Rhinolophus ferrumequinum: one gene and its partner. The protein of the gene in region 2 purifies or fractionates together with the protein of the main gene of each other region. This does not show direct contact. Links are inferred from orthologs where the notes say so. Each region holds a gene or a part of one and is shown on either strand. Other genes may lie near its edges.

Evidence for each region. Proteins that work in one complex are often made in the same cells at the same time.
Region 1: the proteins of CAMKV (region 2) and CWC22 purify together in Homo sapiens (affinity purification with mass spectrometry; 3 studies listed by BioGRID and IntAct, counting the BioPlex papers as one, with this or other methods). This does not show direct contact. The link is inferred for Rhinolophus ferrumequinum from reciprocal best matches to the Homo sapiens genes CAMKV and CWC22.

What each region holds. Positions count from the first base shown.
Region 1 is NC_046291.1:46,208,788-46,217,005, reverse strand, and holds the start of CWC22 (pre-mRNA-splicing factor CWC22 homolog), read right to left. Parts: upstream 3,634-8,218; 5' UTR 3,579-3,633; intron 1-3,578. UniProt on the Homo sapiens protein: Required for pre-mRNA splicing as component of the spliceosome. As a component of the minor spliceosome, involved in the splicing of U12-type introns in pre-mRNAs. Promotes exon-junction complex (EJC) assembly.
Region 2 is NC_046300.1:6,609,602-6,618,470, forward strand, and holds the start of CAMKV (caM kinase-like vesicle-associated protein), read left to right. Parts: upstream 1-5,134; 5' UTR 5,135-5,327; intron 5,328-8,869. Other genes in the region: uncharacterized protein LOC117037109, read left to right, coding at 1-1,833. UniProt on the Homo sapiens protein: Does not appear to have detectable kinase activity.

The DNA.
Region 1 (8,218 bases), on a different chromosome or scaffold from region 2:
ACAGGGTACATACAAAGATTAAGCAGATATAAGACGGAACACGAGATTCATGAAGCTAAAGCGTGAAAGCCCTTGTATGACAACACTGGATACTTGAAGTTCTTGGTCACGGCCATACACCTACTAGAACCTAGGACAGTGCCTGCCACTTATTCCATTCCAATTCTAGAATGAAATATAAAACAGGGTGTACGGACTTTTGATTATGATTCCTGTTTTTGCCTACCCAGAACCCACCATAATGGTAGTCTGACGACTTCTTTACCAAGGGACACCACAGCAGCCTTGTCCCACCTATCAACCCCTACTTCTGGGAACCCCCAAGCTGCCTGTCGTCAATGGCATAAAGATAGCACTCTCAGGTGCCGGCCAGTCTTCACCCCACGTGAACCTGATCAGCTTGAAGAGACCTTCCTATTGAGATGAAAAACATACCAGTTCTTTTGATGGCACTGCAAGAGGAAATTGGACACTTAAGGTGCAGTTACTTTAACTTACAAAACAAGTCCAATTATTGAATCTGCTGTATACCTTCATTCACTTGGTTGCCTCGCCCCCAAAATGTGTTCTTCAGTTTGCCCAGTTAAGCATATGGGCTGGATCTGTTCTGCCAACTCACACAGCACAGCTCTGAAAGTGGGCTTTCTAATTTTTATTTAAAGAGCCATTTAGTGAACCACGTTCTAAGTTCTAAGGAAAACTTGGAGGTGCTGGCCTCCACCAAGATTTATCGAGTAGTCCCTAGACACATAGCACTGCATTCCACCACAGAGGCTCCTGTTGCCAGCTCTCCTGAGAAAAAGCGGCCCTGACAAACTAATTCAGGGAAGGACTGACTCCTAAGGTAACTTTTCAGAGGGAAGTGCTGAATTCTGTCTAGCCTGATTCATTTAGGAGTCAGGCTCAAAGTCAAGTTAAACGTGAATCTTCACCAGGTCTCCCGTTCCCATTAGCTAACCCATTCTATAATCACAGAGGCCCATATGTCCCCAGGCCAAGGCAGCTCACACCATGTTTTTGGTATCTGTTAACTGGGAAAGTCTTACTAGCTTGGCTACAAACAGCAAAGGCTTGCTTTAATCCATTGCTTCCTCTTCTGATGTGTTATTTTTGAAGAAAATGCTTTGAAAGTTTGTTGTCGGCATTGAAATGTCTCTTCAATGTCCACCTGAGAAATGCATATACTAAAATAAAACATTTAGGGTTATAGATTTAGTAAGTCTGGACGTTTGCTGAAACTAATACGCCAGAGGTCTTTTTGTTCCATCACCTTCCCATACTAGGATTCTCAGACTTGAACAGAAAAGGAGAGAAATGCAATAAGGAAGCCCTCAAAGTCATCAGTGGGATCAGCTATATTACCAATAACCACTTTTTCCCTAAACTAACTCTAGGCTAGCCACGACTTCTAACAAGTTAGGGATACACCACAGAATACAAAATGCAGTCTAAATACAAGTGGGCAACAAACAGAAAATCATGTTCAAATTAAGGCATGGGCATTTTAAGTAACAATGTGTTACCATGTACTATCTTAGGTGGTCTCAGCTACAACAGCCACTGTAGACCACTTGGCAATGTTCAATCGTCAGGAAGGAGAGTTAACCTCTAACAATCCAGCAGCTGCGAAAACTGACAAAGCTAAGAAGGGTGGTTTAGGAAAGACGGTTAAGTAGTCTAGGAAGTGTCAGAATTCCGGAAGTGATTGGAGCTAAACTATCCAAAGTAGGGAAGGACGTGGGGGCACAAGTAATAGGGTTGTAGCTCAAATACTTTGAAGCAAGGAAGGCAGCAAACCTGATTCTGGGGGTGGGGCGGGGGCTGGACCATATCAGATCCCTAGGAGATGGGCTGGAACAGTGGCTTTCAAACTAACAGGCATGAGAATCACATGCATGGTTTGATTAAAAAGAGACTGATGGACTCCCTACTCCCCAGTTTGATTCAACAGGACTAGGATGAAGCCCAATAATTTTCATTGCTTGAACAAGTTCCACAGAGCTACTGATGCTGCTGATTCAGGAGATATTCAGAATCACTGGGCCAGGTTATTAGATCAAGATTCTTGGCTTCTGAAGTCTCAGAGCCTCAGCCAGATAAGGCTCCGTGAAAGTGGCATGGACACTTAAAAGTGGAAGGGCAACCTTCATAACCAAAGAACAAGAACTGAGGCACAGAGTGACTTCATCAACTCTACCATAGTAGTAACTGTAATATAATAGCTAAACCTATACGCCAGGCACTGTGCAGAGTGCCTTATACACGTTATTTTTCTTCATCCTCAAAACAAGGTATTACTGTTACACACATTTTTCAGACTACGGATGTTAGGTAACCTGCCCCAAGTGACAGACCTAACACGTGCTGAAGCAAGACTGAAATCATGGGTTCACTAGTCCATCACCCAGTATCAACACAAGTAGGTCTCCTCCTCCTACAGATGCTGCAGGTTAACAACTCCTCTTTACATCAAAATCACAGTTAATGCCAATTGTAAATCTGTGTCTCCAAAGTAGGATGGTAATTGAGGTTAACTCCTCAGTTCACAGGCAATCCTAAAACAAGACAAGTCTAAATACAGTTAAGGCAGGTTACCTGGTCTTCTGAAGCCTAAGATTGCTTGTTTACCTATTTTTAGTCTGTGGACGCCTAAAAATGCAAAGGGCACTCTTACCGCACTTTCAATCACCTAATTCTTGCATCTGAAATAGCCTTTCCCTAGTTTTTTTCCTTCTCCATTTAGCTCAAAGACCTGTGAGGATTAAGTGAAAATAGGTAAAGCGATATTGCAGTTAAAAGACTCAGTGAAATTAACCATTAGATTACCATTATATATGCAAGTGTACTGTAGGATTCTGAGCTCGGTAAGAGGAGGAGAATGGAGACCCAAGTTTGGCAATTATCACATTTTTGGAGGTAGATCAACTTATGAGATGGTCAAGTATGACAGAGGAAGAACTCCGCACACTGAGGAACAGAGTCCGCAGGACTAAACACTAGGAAGAATCACTGTTTACGCGGCAAATGTATGAAAAAGAAACGACTAATGAAATTTTAAGGAGCAGTCACGGGGAAATTACGCCGGAAAAAGGCACAATGAAATTTACTCTATTTTTCAACGAACTATACAGTTCATTAATCCTACTCCCATAGTCTGGGGCCGGGCACTGAGAAAGGGGCCTTGTGGAAGCCGAAACGACTAGAGAGGCTCGAAGGAATCCGCGGCCGAAACGCACTGCACACAACAGGAGAGAGCCAGCGTTGGTGCTGGATTTCAGGAACAAATGCAGTGTGGAGAGACAGTACCAGGAACCTCGGAGGAAGCGAGGTCCGTCCGCGCAGGCGGACAGGGAGTTTCCCACCCGTTCAGACTCCTCCGCCCGACCAGCTCTGACACCTCAACCTCGCCAGCCGGCGCGCGGCCGGAAGAGAGCCACGCGCACCCCGGCGGCACCGATGGCCGCACCGGCAGTCCCGCACCCACTCCTGGGCACCTTTCACCACCCACCCTGTCCGGCAACCCACCACCCACACTACGGTTCGCAGGCTGCAGCGAGTCTACGGAGTTCGATAGTTACCTGGAGCTCCACCGCGCCGCCATTACACCGGATACACGTCACTTCCCCTTCCCGGCCCCGGCAGTAGGGGGAAGGCGGGACGTGAAATGCATACAAACCTGATGCTACATTGGCTTTGATACGTTATCCTACTTATTTTTTAAAAAAACACATCATAATACCAGATTCAGAGCAGTGTGTCCGGCCACGTTTTCCCTTTCCCAAGGCGGCGACAAAAAAGAGAAGTTGATACAAACTACAAAGTCCAGCATCCACCGCCTGTGAGGGTGGAAATGACGTAAGCAATTACTGTCTTAGTTTTGAGAAGGCCGCAATGGACGCCGGGAATTGTAGTTCTTCAGATAAGCGACGGAAAGTGCTTTCAGGCGGCTAGTCAGGAGCCTGATGGTGATTAGGAAGAAGCAAAATATACTTCAAAACTATTTATTTGCAGTTGTAAAAAGTAGACCGTAGTAGTAATTTTCCGTGAAAATCTTAAGAACAGCAGACACCCTTTTCAGACTTTTTACGGTAATTAGATCAAGAACCCATTATAAACAAAAATATTTCCAACTGTTAAGTGCCTACTAAATTCCAAGATGTCAAGCCCAAGTAAGTGGGAGGATATTGGACCATAAATGGCGTGAAGTAATGAGGAGAAGCTAATTCTGTAGAAGATGATGCTTCTATTTTAGGGTAAGGTACCAGCTGGCCAGACATCATGATGAGAAGGACATTTTTTGGCGGACTTGGAAATAGCTATCTGTGGAGAGATAAGAGGTAAAACATCAATGTGTTTTAAGCTTTACTTTTCAATAGTAACAAAACCTAAAGTGTCACTTACTTGTTACTGTTTTGAGATCTAGCATTCCCTAAAACGACTGTATCTTTATGTTCCAGAACCTTGTCTAAACCAGGCCTGGTTTCTCCAAACACTTCTCTATTACAGTTTTAGTGTGCTGGTGTTACCAATCCTTTCCTAGAGGCAGAAGAGTATAATGCTACGGAGGACACTGGAGCCAGACTACTTATGTTTACGTCACGAATCTATTGATATACTTATGGATGATTGACCTTGGAGTAGGTTATGTCACACTGTTGTGTGTGATTCCTGATTGTTAGGAATAATAGTAGTACCCGCCCCACAGAGTAGTTTTAAGAATTGAATTAGTTGATACAGTTGTTGTGGTTGAGATAATTCCTCCTATATAATAGTATTATCTATTTTTTTAATATTTAAGAGATTTGGCTATCGGTAAAAGTGCATTTTGGTGTCTTAAAATATTTAAGTGAATTGATTTTAGTTGTACCAATACAGTACACAGAAGATGAACCTGGTAAACGTTTGTATGCTGTGGGGACAGAGCCAGGAGTGCAGTTTCCAGGCTCTCGGCCTCACGTGGAAAGGTGCTGGTTCAGGAAGTAAATGGCCATCAACTGTGATTGGATAGCCATCAGCTGTGGCTAGTTGGCTGTCAGCTGTAACCAGTGAGCCATTGGCCACTAATATAACTGCTGTGGCTATGCTAGCAGCAAATGGGGGCTAGCAAGAAGAAGGTGGCTAGCAAGCGCAGAGTGTAGTTAGCTAGCAAGTGAGGTTGGTTGGCAGAGAGAAATGGACAGCAGGTTGCGGATAGTGTAGCTCCTGCTTCCTGTGTCTCCAACCCAGCCGCTAGCGAGAATATAGTGGTATGACTCCCCTATCTGTGGCTCTGTGGGTGTTCCTCTTTGGCCTCAGCATGTCCTGCGTTCTTAGGTGGGAAGCGGGAGCTGAGACCCCCGCATGACACCCTGCATGACAATGCACATCTGAAAAAAGCACAATACCACCTCTACTGTTATAAAAAGAAATAGGAAAGTTAGAGTTGAGCCTAGGGGAGCTTAATAGAGCTAGAAAAGACTTAGGTTTATCATTTGGGTCTTCCAGGAAGCAAACAGTGAGATAGAGTTAAGAATGTAAAAAAGTGAAAGGAAAAGGGAGGAAACTAGATGGGACAGGGGTATCATTTATCCACACTGCAATAAAGTGATAGGCCCTTGTAACACAATCTTGCTCAGTCATTGGCTGGAGCCACTTCAGGAAGAGAGGCTTCAAATCAAAAGCTGAGGTGGACTTGAAAATGATAACAGTAGAAGGCTGTCACCTAATGACACTCTTCACAACTAGGCATGTTTTCTTGAAGAGGTGTCTGAGCAGCACACTTCTGTGTCTGTCACAGTCCACCAGGTAGATCCACTCTCTATACACATTCAGGGAACAGTTCCTCCAGGGTTTCAATGGGCCTCTTCCTGAAGGGAAACCGAGAAAAGAAGTTAGGGGACAAACTACAGCCCCCATCTTTGCAGTCGGTCCGGAGCTACAGCTGAACTCACTATTTTTTTCTTCCACTATTCCTTCTAAATTTCCCTCACTCTCATGTACCACCTCTGTGGGTCTCAGTGATTAAACAGTGGTGTGAAAACCCTAATTCCTGAGAAATTGGAGCCCCTGGTAATAAACTCCTTCTCAGGCAGGTGTTGCTGTACTTGCCCATTTACAGTCATGATGGTGCCCAAGTGAATCCCCTTAATTATTAAGAGGTACCCAAGTGAATCACCTGAATACCACACATATGCTTACTTTTCCCCATTGTATAACATCAAGGCTACCTTCTCCTGCTGATTAGCGTTAGCTTCTCCTGCCAAGCATTAAGCCTTCTTCTTGCCTACTTGTCACTGAACTCAAGAAGTGCAAAGTGTCTAGGCAACAGATGATGTTCAATTCAGTGGGACTCTTGCTGAATCCCCTAGCAATACTATGCCACCTTTGGGGACTAGGACCGCTAATTCCACAAAGATCAGCGTTGCAAGAACGGGAAACACTACATCCCCTAATGGGTCATTGGGAAGGATGGTGAATTGGGCTATTCCTGTTTTAATCCTTTGTTTCCTGGACCTGTGCACTGTTCTTGTTAGGGACCCTGAGCTGCCATACCAAGGTCTATTGCATCCTGGGGAACAGCACCTCATTCTTGCTGAGTATTATTTCCTAGCCGGTGCTTGAACTGCACCCCTAGGAGGCCATTCCAGTGCTCTATTAGGCCAGCAGCTTCTGGGATATGCAGCATGTGATACAACCAGTGGAACCCATCATCACTGGTACCCTCCTGCAGCACCTTTGCTGTGAAGTGGTTCTCTGCTTGGATGCTACATTGTATTATATTCCACATATGTGGACCCCGCATTTTGTAAGTCCTCAGATAGTGGTGCTGGATGAAGATTGTTTGGTAGGAAATGCAAATATATACCCAAAATAAGTAATCTATTTCCATGAGGTGGAACTGCTGTCCTGTTCAGGATGGAAAGATCCCAGTGTAGTCAACTTTCCACCAAGGGGCTACATAATCTCCTAAAGGAATGATGACATAGTAGGAGCTCAATATTGGTCTCCTTTGCTGGCAGGTTGAGGTTTCAGATGAAGCAGTAGACAGGTCAGCTGTGGTAAGTAGGCTGCATGCTGATGGGCCTATGCTTAGATTCCATTTCTGCCTCCATGGTCATTTCATTCAAGTGTCCATTGTGCCAGCACTGGGATGGCCACTAACAAAGACAGGCTAACATCATCCAGCTGAGTAATTTTGTTTACTTGGTTGTGTAGTGTTTCTTCCATGATGTGTACTTCCTGAGACATTGATATGTGATAATAAAATCTTCGTACTTTTTGCTCACTTTTCACACTAATATGTTGTGTATCCACATACCTCTAATCCTGTAAGACCTCAGTGTCTGCAGTCTTTTAAATCTCTTCCTTTTCAGCCCTCTGACCAGCCAGCCAGGCTACTTGCCATTGCCTCTTAATCTGTTTATGTCCCAACATTGGGTCACTTTTCCTTCCACACAAAGGGGATGACCAGGTGCACCCCTGACACTCTGCCCATTAGAAAGACTGTCCCTCTCCTCTGTTTTCAAGGTTGTTCCTGAGTGAGGCTGTCAGTCATGGAGCTGCTGTCCAATTTCAACTTTCATCCACATACTTAGCCAACTCATCTGTAAACTAAGTTCAGCCATTTTTTCTTCTTTTAACTAATTGTTGAAGACACTACTCCTACTCCATATGGCCATCAGTGTGAGCTGAGGGGTACTGATGCAACAATCATGCAGATTGTTTGTGCCCTCTGGTCTTCTTTTTGCTTCATCCCAAATGGAATTCTTTTATCTTGTGATGAATTGCAACAGGGCCCCTCAGAATTTATAACAGGATGTGTTCAACGAGATACATTTCATTTTGTGTCACTTGGTATCCCCTGGTCAAGCATTGTCTCTTTACCATTAGCATGCCAAGAGCTAATTTTTAAAAGATGTGCAACCTAGCTCCAGAACCCCAGGGATCCGACCTGGGATTTTTCTACTAAGATTTCCATTAACTCCAGACTGCATCTTTTCTAAAACTCACAAGTCTGACATAGAATCTGCCATATTCTATACCACTACTCAAATCTGCTGCAGAGCCCTTTCTTTTGCCAGTTTGTAAAGCTGGGAGCTTTTTATGTCACGTAGCACATGGGCCAGAAAAATATTCCTCAGCGTGGAGTATGTTGCTTACAGAATCCAAAGCAGCCTCCTGGGAACTCTGCTTTCTCCTGTCTTGTAGGGGATGCAGCAATTTGTCTTTTATTTTGAAG
Region 2 (8,869 bases):
GAAAATACTTGGGCTGAAGCGACTGGGCAGGCCCTCCTTGGTGTTTGGCCCCCACAAGCTGAGTGGCATCCCCTCACTGGACAGCCGCCTCCAACCGGTCAGCCTCCCTTTTCTGAGCAGCGCCCTTTCCCCAGGAAAACCCACTTTTCTGGACAGATTCCCCTAGCTGAGCAGCATCCTTCCACCAAGCAGCCCCCCCTTTCTGATCAGCCCCCTCTCACTGGAACACCTCTTGCCAGGCAGCTTTCTCTCACTGGGCAGTCTCCCTTTTTCCAAGAACCCCCCATCTCCAAAGAGCCAATCCTCTCAAGAGACCCCCCTACCACCAGGGAGCCTGGCCAAGCTTCCATCCTGTGCCAGGAAAGTGAGTCCTTGGGTCTGCCCACCCATGTGGGGGTACTTCAGGTGCCCCAGATCCCTGAGAAAATCTGTGTCTATGTGAGCAAAGAAAAGGTGGGTACCAGTGCCGCTCCAAGCTCCAGCACACATTGGCTCTCATCCTGGCAACATGACAGCTCTCACAGGGCCCAGGAGCAGCAGCTCTCCCCAGTTACATTCACCACACCTGGCACTGGCTGCAAGGTCTTGCCCATGGCCATGGTGGGCACTGAGGCGCAGGGTCCCCAGTCTAAGCTGACAGCTGAAGACATTACAGACTCGGCCACGGTCACACACCTTGGCCTGCTTCGCGGGGCCTGCTATGAGCTGGTGTCCACCCTGGATGCTCTGCCGGAACAGTCCCCAGTGCTTCGCCGCCACTCACTGGGCTCCTACCAGGACATGGCAGCCGTGGTAATTGACACAGGCACAGGTTTCACCAAATGTGGACTGGCTGGAGAGGACCATGGCTTCAGTGTGGTGCCCTCATGCATCCAGCTGCTGCAGCAGCCAGTCCAGGGCCAGCCCAGGTATGCGGTGCCTGAGAACCGAGAGGGCTCCTACTCAGTGCTGAATCGAGGCGTGGTCTCTGACTGGGACGCACTGGAGATGCTGTGGCAGCACCTGTTCTACTGCAGGCTAGGCATGCAGCCTGAACAGCTGGCAGTACTTGTGGCCGACTCACCCGTCTCCCCGAGCACCAACCGAGAAAAGGTGGCCGAAATACTCTTTGAGCGTTTCCATGTGCCAGCCATGCAGACAGTGCACCAGGCCCTGCTGGCGCTCTATGCTTATGGGCGAACCACTGGGCTGGTGCTGGGCAGTGGCTATGGCACCTCCTATGTGGCACCCATCCTCAGTGGGGATCTGGCCCCACGTGACATCTACCGGCTGGATGTGGCTGGTGCTGACCTCACTGAATACCTGGCTCAGCTACTGCTGGCAGGTGGGCACTCACTGCCCAATGCAGGGCTGGTCAACCAGATTAAAGAGGCCTGCTGCTACGTGGCCATGGATGTGACAGCTGAGATGGCCCGCACCCAGGGTCAGGCCGGGGTGGACTTCGTGCTTCCAGACAAGCAGGTCATCACGCTGGGCTCCGAGTGTTTCTGCTGCCCTGAGGCCCTCTTCCAGCCCAATCTGCTAGGCCTCAACCGGCCAGGCCTCGCACAACTAGCCCTCCTAAGCATCAGCCAGCTGGAGGCCAAGCAGCAGGAGCAGCTGCTGGCCAATGTGGTACTAGACGGTGGCAGCACCCTGGTAAGAGGCTTTCCTGAGCGCCTGAGACAGGAGCTGGGCCCCCGTGCCACTGTGCTGGACTTGCCCCACCGTGTTGCTGCCGCTTGGATTGGAGGCTCCATCATGGCGTCCCAGGACTCCTTCCAGAGCCTGTGGCTCAGCCGCCGTGAGTATGAGGAGGAGGGCCCATGGGCCATCTACAAGTACCATCTGTGAGCACATAAAAGTTCTGGTTCTGCTTATTTTGAGCACTGTGGCATGTTTTAGGCCCAAGGTGGTATGGAAGGGGCAGGAGTCCTGGCCCAGGGTCAGGGATGGCGGCCTTGGCACTCCTAAGGCACACCCTGCCTCTGCACACTGGAACTCCATGGGTCCTGGCAGCCTTCTCTAGAGAGCCCCAGAGCCCCTTGGCATTGGCTTTGGTCTCGCCTGACAGGTCTCGCCTGACCTTTACTGAACCCCAAGGGCAAACACAGAGAATGGCTGCTGTGGGTTTTGCCCCGTTGCCCTGGTGACAAGCGCAATTACCCTTGATTGCCAGCTGGTTGCCATGGCAATTTCAAACATAATGTAATAACCCACACAGCCTGGAGTGAGTCATGGGGGGGCAGCCCCCTCCCCTAGCACCAGAGGAAAAGACTACTTGCCCTCCCCCATCTTGGGCCCTCTACAGGGGGGCTGAGACCAGCAACATAGACGACAGCCCCAAAGTTCCAAAGATGGCTGGGGGCCTGGAGCATTTTGTGTACCCGAGGGACAGTCCCTGTCAGAGTCTTGGCTTCTTGGGGTAGCTGGCCTGGTAATGCAGGTACCTCCTAAAGTCTGAACCTTGGCTGGAGCTCTACACTAGGTTGGCAGGGGCTTCTGTCCACCAGTCAGAATACGAGGATATAGGAGTGCTGGCTTTGGTGCCCTGGAGCAGGAAGTTGGGGTAGGGGGCAGATAAGTCCTGGCCCCTGGGGATGGGGTACGACCTGAGCTGGGGGCTGAGGCTCTGGCCTGCTTTGTGTGCTCTATGGATACAGCAGCTCGCGCCTTATCCTGCTTCTCTGACTATCTAGCTCTGGTGGGAGCCAGAATAGTCAACTTTGGGCTCTCCTCCTCTTCAGCCTTCCAACCCAGGCAGCCCCTGCCCATAGTGTGGCCAGGGTACAGGCCTCCTCAGGAGATCCTCATAAAGGATACCGGGCAATGCCAAAGCCAACTGCTCTTGCTCTTACCCCAAACTGCCCCGTGTTAGGGCCTCCCGCTATTCCTCTGGCGGGGGGGTGGCTAGAAGCCACGGCCCCTGACCTTGTCTGGCTCTGAAAGGGGAGGTAGGAATGAAGCTCTGTCGGCCCAGTCCATAGTCTGGAAGAGCACTCAGCTGGTGTTGCTACTTCCTGCCCAGAGAGGGCAGTTGGAGATTGAAGCCAAAACAATGAAGCCCTGCCTTGCCTGTGCTTCTCTGGTTGGAGACTGAGGGACAAGCCATGGCTCAGTCTCAACCCTGGGTTCTTGTCTTTAGGTTACCCTCTCCACAGAGGGCAAAGACCTGGCTACACCTCCCTGCCCTCCCACCCCACTGCCCCCCACCTGAGAGTGAGGGGCTACCCTAGGGGGATGACTAGAAACAACCGATGACATAGGGTCATCACAGCCCCTGCCCGCCCCTGGGCATAGTCCAGCCTCTTCCCATGTCCTGTCCTCACAACCCTGATTCAATCTCCACAATCCCAAGGCCTGTGTTAGGCAGGAAGGGGACCAGTGTCTCCAGGGACCAGTGGCTCCAGAGACTAGCTACAGCGTCCGTGAGCACGTGAGAGCAAGCATGCCTGGGTGCACACAGAATGCAGACACACGTGCCCCTGGGCCCCACTGCACACACTGTGCTAATGCCTTCTCCTTCAGCATAAGAGCGCAAACACACAGACACACTTACACGTGTGCACATATACCCTGCCACGTGCTCTCACCCACAGACACATGGAGTGTGCACAGGACCAAGAAGAGGTGGAGCACTGCCAGCAGGAGGCAGGGCTCCCGCAGCCACCTTTTCCCCTGCCTCTGAGTGCCCTGTTCCAGCCTCTCCTCAGTTCAGCTTCTCCATGCCTGGATATCCATGACCTCAAGGTCATGGAAAGACAGAAAACACGTGTGACATGTGTGGGGTTGGCAAACCATGGCTCGGCTGCACCATCCAACTCAGAGAGCCATTGTTTCAAGGACAGCGGGCAGACAGGAGGCAGGACTGCATGCTAGGCTGTCCCTTCATTCTACAGACAGGGACTGAGCATACTGAGATGAGACACAGTCTCTGCGCTGCAGGTGCCCAGCCTGCCAGGAGATTCCCACCCAGTAGTGGGATTGGTGCCATGACTGAGACCACTCAGAGGTGGCACCAGCCTGGCCTGGGACAGGTGACCCAAAGCCAGGGAAGGAAATGAAGGGCTCCTCAACAATCCCTCTGTAGGAAGATATAGAGGGGCCTTGTTTGAATAGTCATTTGCCAGGCTAGTCCTTCAGCCCCAGCCCCAGCTTCCTCACACGGGCAGTCACTCTGTCAGCAGCACGGGGAGCCACGCAGGGGAGCCGGACTCAGTATGGTACAGGGTTTGGAGATGGCTGCACCCAGGATGGGGTCAGAAGGCTCACTGGAAAGGTTGGGTTGGGTGGATCCCCCAACTCCAGGCACCGAGAAGCCTAAGTCTGGCCTTCAGATAATGGCCTCAGACCTTGTGAGGGGAGCAGGGCAAGCACTGGGTCCACAGAGAAATGGCCAAGGACTTCCTTTAAAGCTTCTGCCTGGTAGTTCTCAGCCTCCTCCAGTCAGTGGCCGGGTATGGTCAGGGGCCAGGTCTCCTGTATCCCCACATCCCAGCCCAGGCCGTTGATGGTGATTCTGCTCATGAAGTGTTTGAGGGTGATATAACTGGGAAGAAAGCAGATTCCACACCATGCCATAGGTGACTTTTATAGCTTGAGAAATTCAGTGCTACATAGAAGGGACAGACTGGGCCAGCCACCCTGGCTGGGACTTGGTAATGGGAAAGATTTTGGCCTTGCGGGAATGGAGGTTGGGGTGGAAAGGAGACTGCCACCATGGTCTGGGCACAACCCACTCCTAGTTACGGGTTGCTACTCTATAGCGCAGCTTGCGCTAGCGACTGTCCACTTGGTTCTTCTAAGCGGGTTCCACCCTTAGGGTCAGGTTTTGGGAGCTGGGCAGTGCGCCGGTCCCCCGGGACACTACCTGCCAAGAGATTTCCTGTGCAGCTTTAGGACTCAGGCTTTCCCCACACTTCCCACTCCCCAGCCCCTACAATGGGCATAGGAAGAAGGCCCCTCCATTAAGCCCTGTGGCGCAGTCAGTCCCAGGGCCTAAGGGAGCCCTTTGAGAGCCTGGCCCGGGCCGGGCAGCCCAATGCTCACCGACTCCGCTGCCACCCCTGGTCCGCCTGCATTCGAGTGGGATTCGGGCCTTAAGCTCGGCCAGGGTCGGGGCGGAGCCGGCTGAGGGAGGCCCCGCCCCCAGCCCGCCCCCGGCCCGGGGTGCAAATCCGGTGCGGGCGAGCGGCGGGAGATGCTGGAGGTTCGCGAGCCCAAGCGGCTGCAGCTGGCGCCGCGTCTGGCCCGCGTGCCCGGAGCTGATTCTGCCCGCTGACCCCGGAGCCCTCGGAGCCCCCACTGAGCCCGCGATCGCTTCTTCCTGTGATCAACCGGCGCTGCAGGTGAGGGCGGGCCGGGCGGGGGAGCGTCCCTGGGACGCACGTTGTGAGGTCTTGGGGGATTAGGTCTCTGGTCGCTTAATGTACAGGGGCCCCGCGAAGGCTTGGGGCCCCTGCGGGGGCAGAGCACACAGGCTGTGCAGATTTGGGGGTCCGCGTGCGGGGTTGGGCTAAAGTTGCCTGTCACCTCTGACAGCTCGGGGGTCCCAGGGGAAGCCTCTGAGACTCAAGTCCAGGCGAATCTCCTCTTCCTTGCTCCCCCCGCCCGCACCTTGTCCACCCCGCCCCCGTCTCGCTGGGCTACTAATTGTGAAAACATTAACCCTCGGACATTCGTGGTGCCCCATGGCGGGGGGCGGAGGGGGGTAGGGGCCGAGGGCTGAGTGGTCCCTCCTGACTCCCAGAGCCGCCTCCAGCCCCTCCCAACTGCTCCCGCCCCCCTCCCTTTCTCAAAGCAGTCACTAATTTCCATGACAACGGAGAGTTCTTTATGGGCGACAACCTGGAGGGGGCTGGGCGGGGCTGCCGGAGTGGGGGAGGGGGCTTCAAGCCCCTGGGGACCAGCAGCGCCCGAGGCAAGATCCAGTTTTCAAGCCTTAACTTGGGGCCCAGCCGGGGTCCAGGACACCGACCTAGCGCTGGATGGTGGGGGTGGGGGACACATATGTCTCTGCTGGGTGGTGCGGGGCTTGGTGCTCACACGTGTGCCTCCCGCATGTGTGTTGCTGTGCCAGCGGGGGCGAGTCAGCAGCACTGGGAAGGGGGTCAGGGTGGCACCGCGGTGGGAAGCAGGGCTGTGGCTGGGGGAGGTGGACAATAAACCAGGGAGTTTCTGCCTTCCCCAACCTGTAATGTCTGGCAGAGACCCTAGGCTCTCCCAGCCCCCCATAGCTCTGCCAAACTGCTTTTGTCTGCACCCCTTAGGAAAGCCTGCTCCACCGGGTTCTCTTCTGGGGAGCAGGGCCCTCTGTCCCTCACCAAAAGCTCAGTCTACAGCAGTCCAGCTCCTGTCCTGCCACCCTCCTCCAAGGCCCAGCCTTTGAACCCCCCAAGGACCACCTGCAGAGACCTGGTGCCCTCCCCTCTCATTTGATTCCTGTCAGCTTTAGCCGGCTGTTGGGCCTCAGTTTCCTCATCTGGGATAATGGTGTCTCCACTTCCCTCAGTGTCAGGCAGAGGTCCCTCTCCTTTCACGGCATTGGGTGTGGACCCCCAGGTGCCATAGGCTACCTTTCCCATATCCACCTCTGGCCCTCCTATCCAGCCCATATCCTGGCCACCACTCACTAGCAGGCAATCAATCAATCCTTGCCCTGGGAGAAGGCCACTGAGTCCGTGATCTCCATCCAGGGAAACTAAGGCAAGGGGAGGTGGGGCTGTGCAGTTGTTTTCCTGTTTCTAGGTTGCTTAGGGTGCTGTTTCTGGCTCTCCTAACAGGATCCACTGTTGGGAGGGGGACAGCAGTGGCAGAGAATTAGGCTGAGCTGCAAGAGGGGCCCTGGGGACCTAAGGCCTAGAGAGGATAGCAGAAGGGGGCTGGGGGTGTGGCTGGGGAGTCCAGGTGTAGCTGGGCCAGCTGAGAGGAGGGCTGTGAAGGGAAGCAGCCAGGTCTCCGAGCTTCATTTCCATCCCCCACGCTGGTGCCTTCCCCACGTGGGACCTGCCTTACCTAAGCTGCTGTGATGACAGGGAGAGGGGCTGAGGAGCTGCTCTGACTTAGGCGACTGCAGTAGCTGGCCTCTTCCTTCGAGCTAAGGGTGCTTCCCACACCAGGTTCCCTGCATGTCTAGGGCGTATAGGAGGGTTCAGTCTCAAAGTCCAGGTACCAGGCAGCAGCTCCTGGCCCAGGTGTTCAGAGCACATGGCCGTGGAGGCCCTAGGGCTCTGTTGGGCACCCACAGGCGCCTTCAGAACCCGATGCCCACCTTCCCCCCCCCCCCACCCTTGTGGCTGCATCCTTTTTACTCTGTCGCCTGTTTGCTTCCCTTCCATCACAGGTTGTGCCTTTGTCTCCCTGTGGCCATGTCTCTCTTTCTCTTTTTATAAGTGTCTCAGTACCTCCACCTCCCCTTTCTTGATAGGGACCAAGGTCACAGAACCCATGGGGAAGGAACCAGGTCAAAGCCTCAGGGAATTCTTCGAGAAGGGGTTTGGCCAACACTTCTCCCTCCCCCTCCTCTTGTTTTAAAACTTCCATCACCATTGTAACCCTTTGCTCTAGAGCCTTCCCCTGCATTTCCCCTCCTCCACCCACAGGGAAGCAGGGACCCCAGGGAGTTTTCCTTTAGGGATTCAAAGGTGCCCAGGAGGGGTCAGCTGGCTCTTGACTCTGCCTGCATATGAGGGTTGAACTTTCTGATGGCAGCACTGGACGGTATACCCACCCCTGAGACTGGAGCCCGCCCCCCACCCCCACCCCCGCCACACACACACACACACACACACACACACACACACACACTCCCTCATTAGATGGCAAAGGGTCAGCAGCAGGAACTATGGACCATGGTTTAGCTAGAGCATGAGGCCCAGCCAAGGCAGCCCCCTGCCCAGTTTTCTGAAGCAGCTGGAGGGTAGGCCAGAAGCTCGGCTCTGCCTCCTGACACCAGACCACGAGAGTGAGGTCTCTATTTCCCCTGGTCCTGCGGGTGAGGCTTCAGCAGTGGGCCGGCAGGGCTTGGGCCTAAGCGTGTCCACTGCAAACCCAGCCCCAGTCCCTGAGAAAGGAAAGCAGGGAATGGGGGGGGGGGTGCCCGCAGGCTGGTGTTCACAGCTGCCACTAAATCGGGAGGTGTTGCCGACAGTTGTTGGGAGGCAGCTGGAGGCCTCCTGGGCCCCTCCTGGCCTCCCCAGATTTGCTGCAAGCTCTGGAGCCCCACGTGGCAGAGGAGCAGGGCAGCAGGAAACTCCTGTTTATGGCTAAGAAAGGTGGGGCCTGAAACAGGCTGACCTTAGTGGAGGAGGGAACATGACTCCTAGGTGGGACCTCTGGGCCTCTGGACTGATCTCTGTCCCATTCAGGCTTCCCGTGGGCCAGACTTGTCTTAGGCTGTAGTAGGGTCCCTAGAGGACCCTTTATTACCAGGGCACCAATGGGCAGGGGCTCCCTCAGGGGTGCCCGAGGCTCATTTGCCTGAGCCCAGTGGTCAGACTGGAGAGTGCTTGGCCCTCAGGCTGACTTAGAACCAGCTGGAGGGCAGTGGCAGTGCCCTGCTCTGTACTTTCCCCAAGTTCCCTTTGGACAGCCCCCTGTGCACCATTTAGTTTCTCAGCAGAGAATGGGAAAAGCCACATCTCTAGGGAATTGGGACTCCTGTGCCCTCCCATGTCCAGTGTGGACCTGAGGCAGAGCCCAGGTCCTCTGTTGCTGGAAGGAGAGCTCTCCACTAATGGGTGTTGAGTCTGGGCTCTCCAGGCCATGGGAATGAGAAATGCAAACCCCTTTCTTCCCGGCCTTCCAGTTCTTGAAGCTGTCCCTTGGCTGCTTCTCCCAGCTTCCAGACCAGGGCCCCACCCTGTCGCAGGCAGGTGCTAGGGCCTTGGTG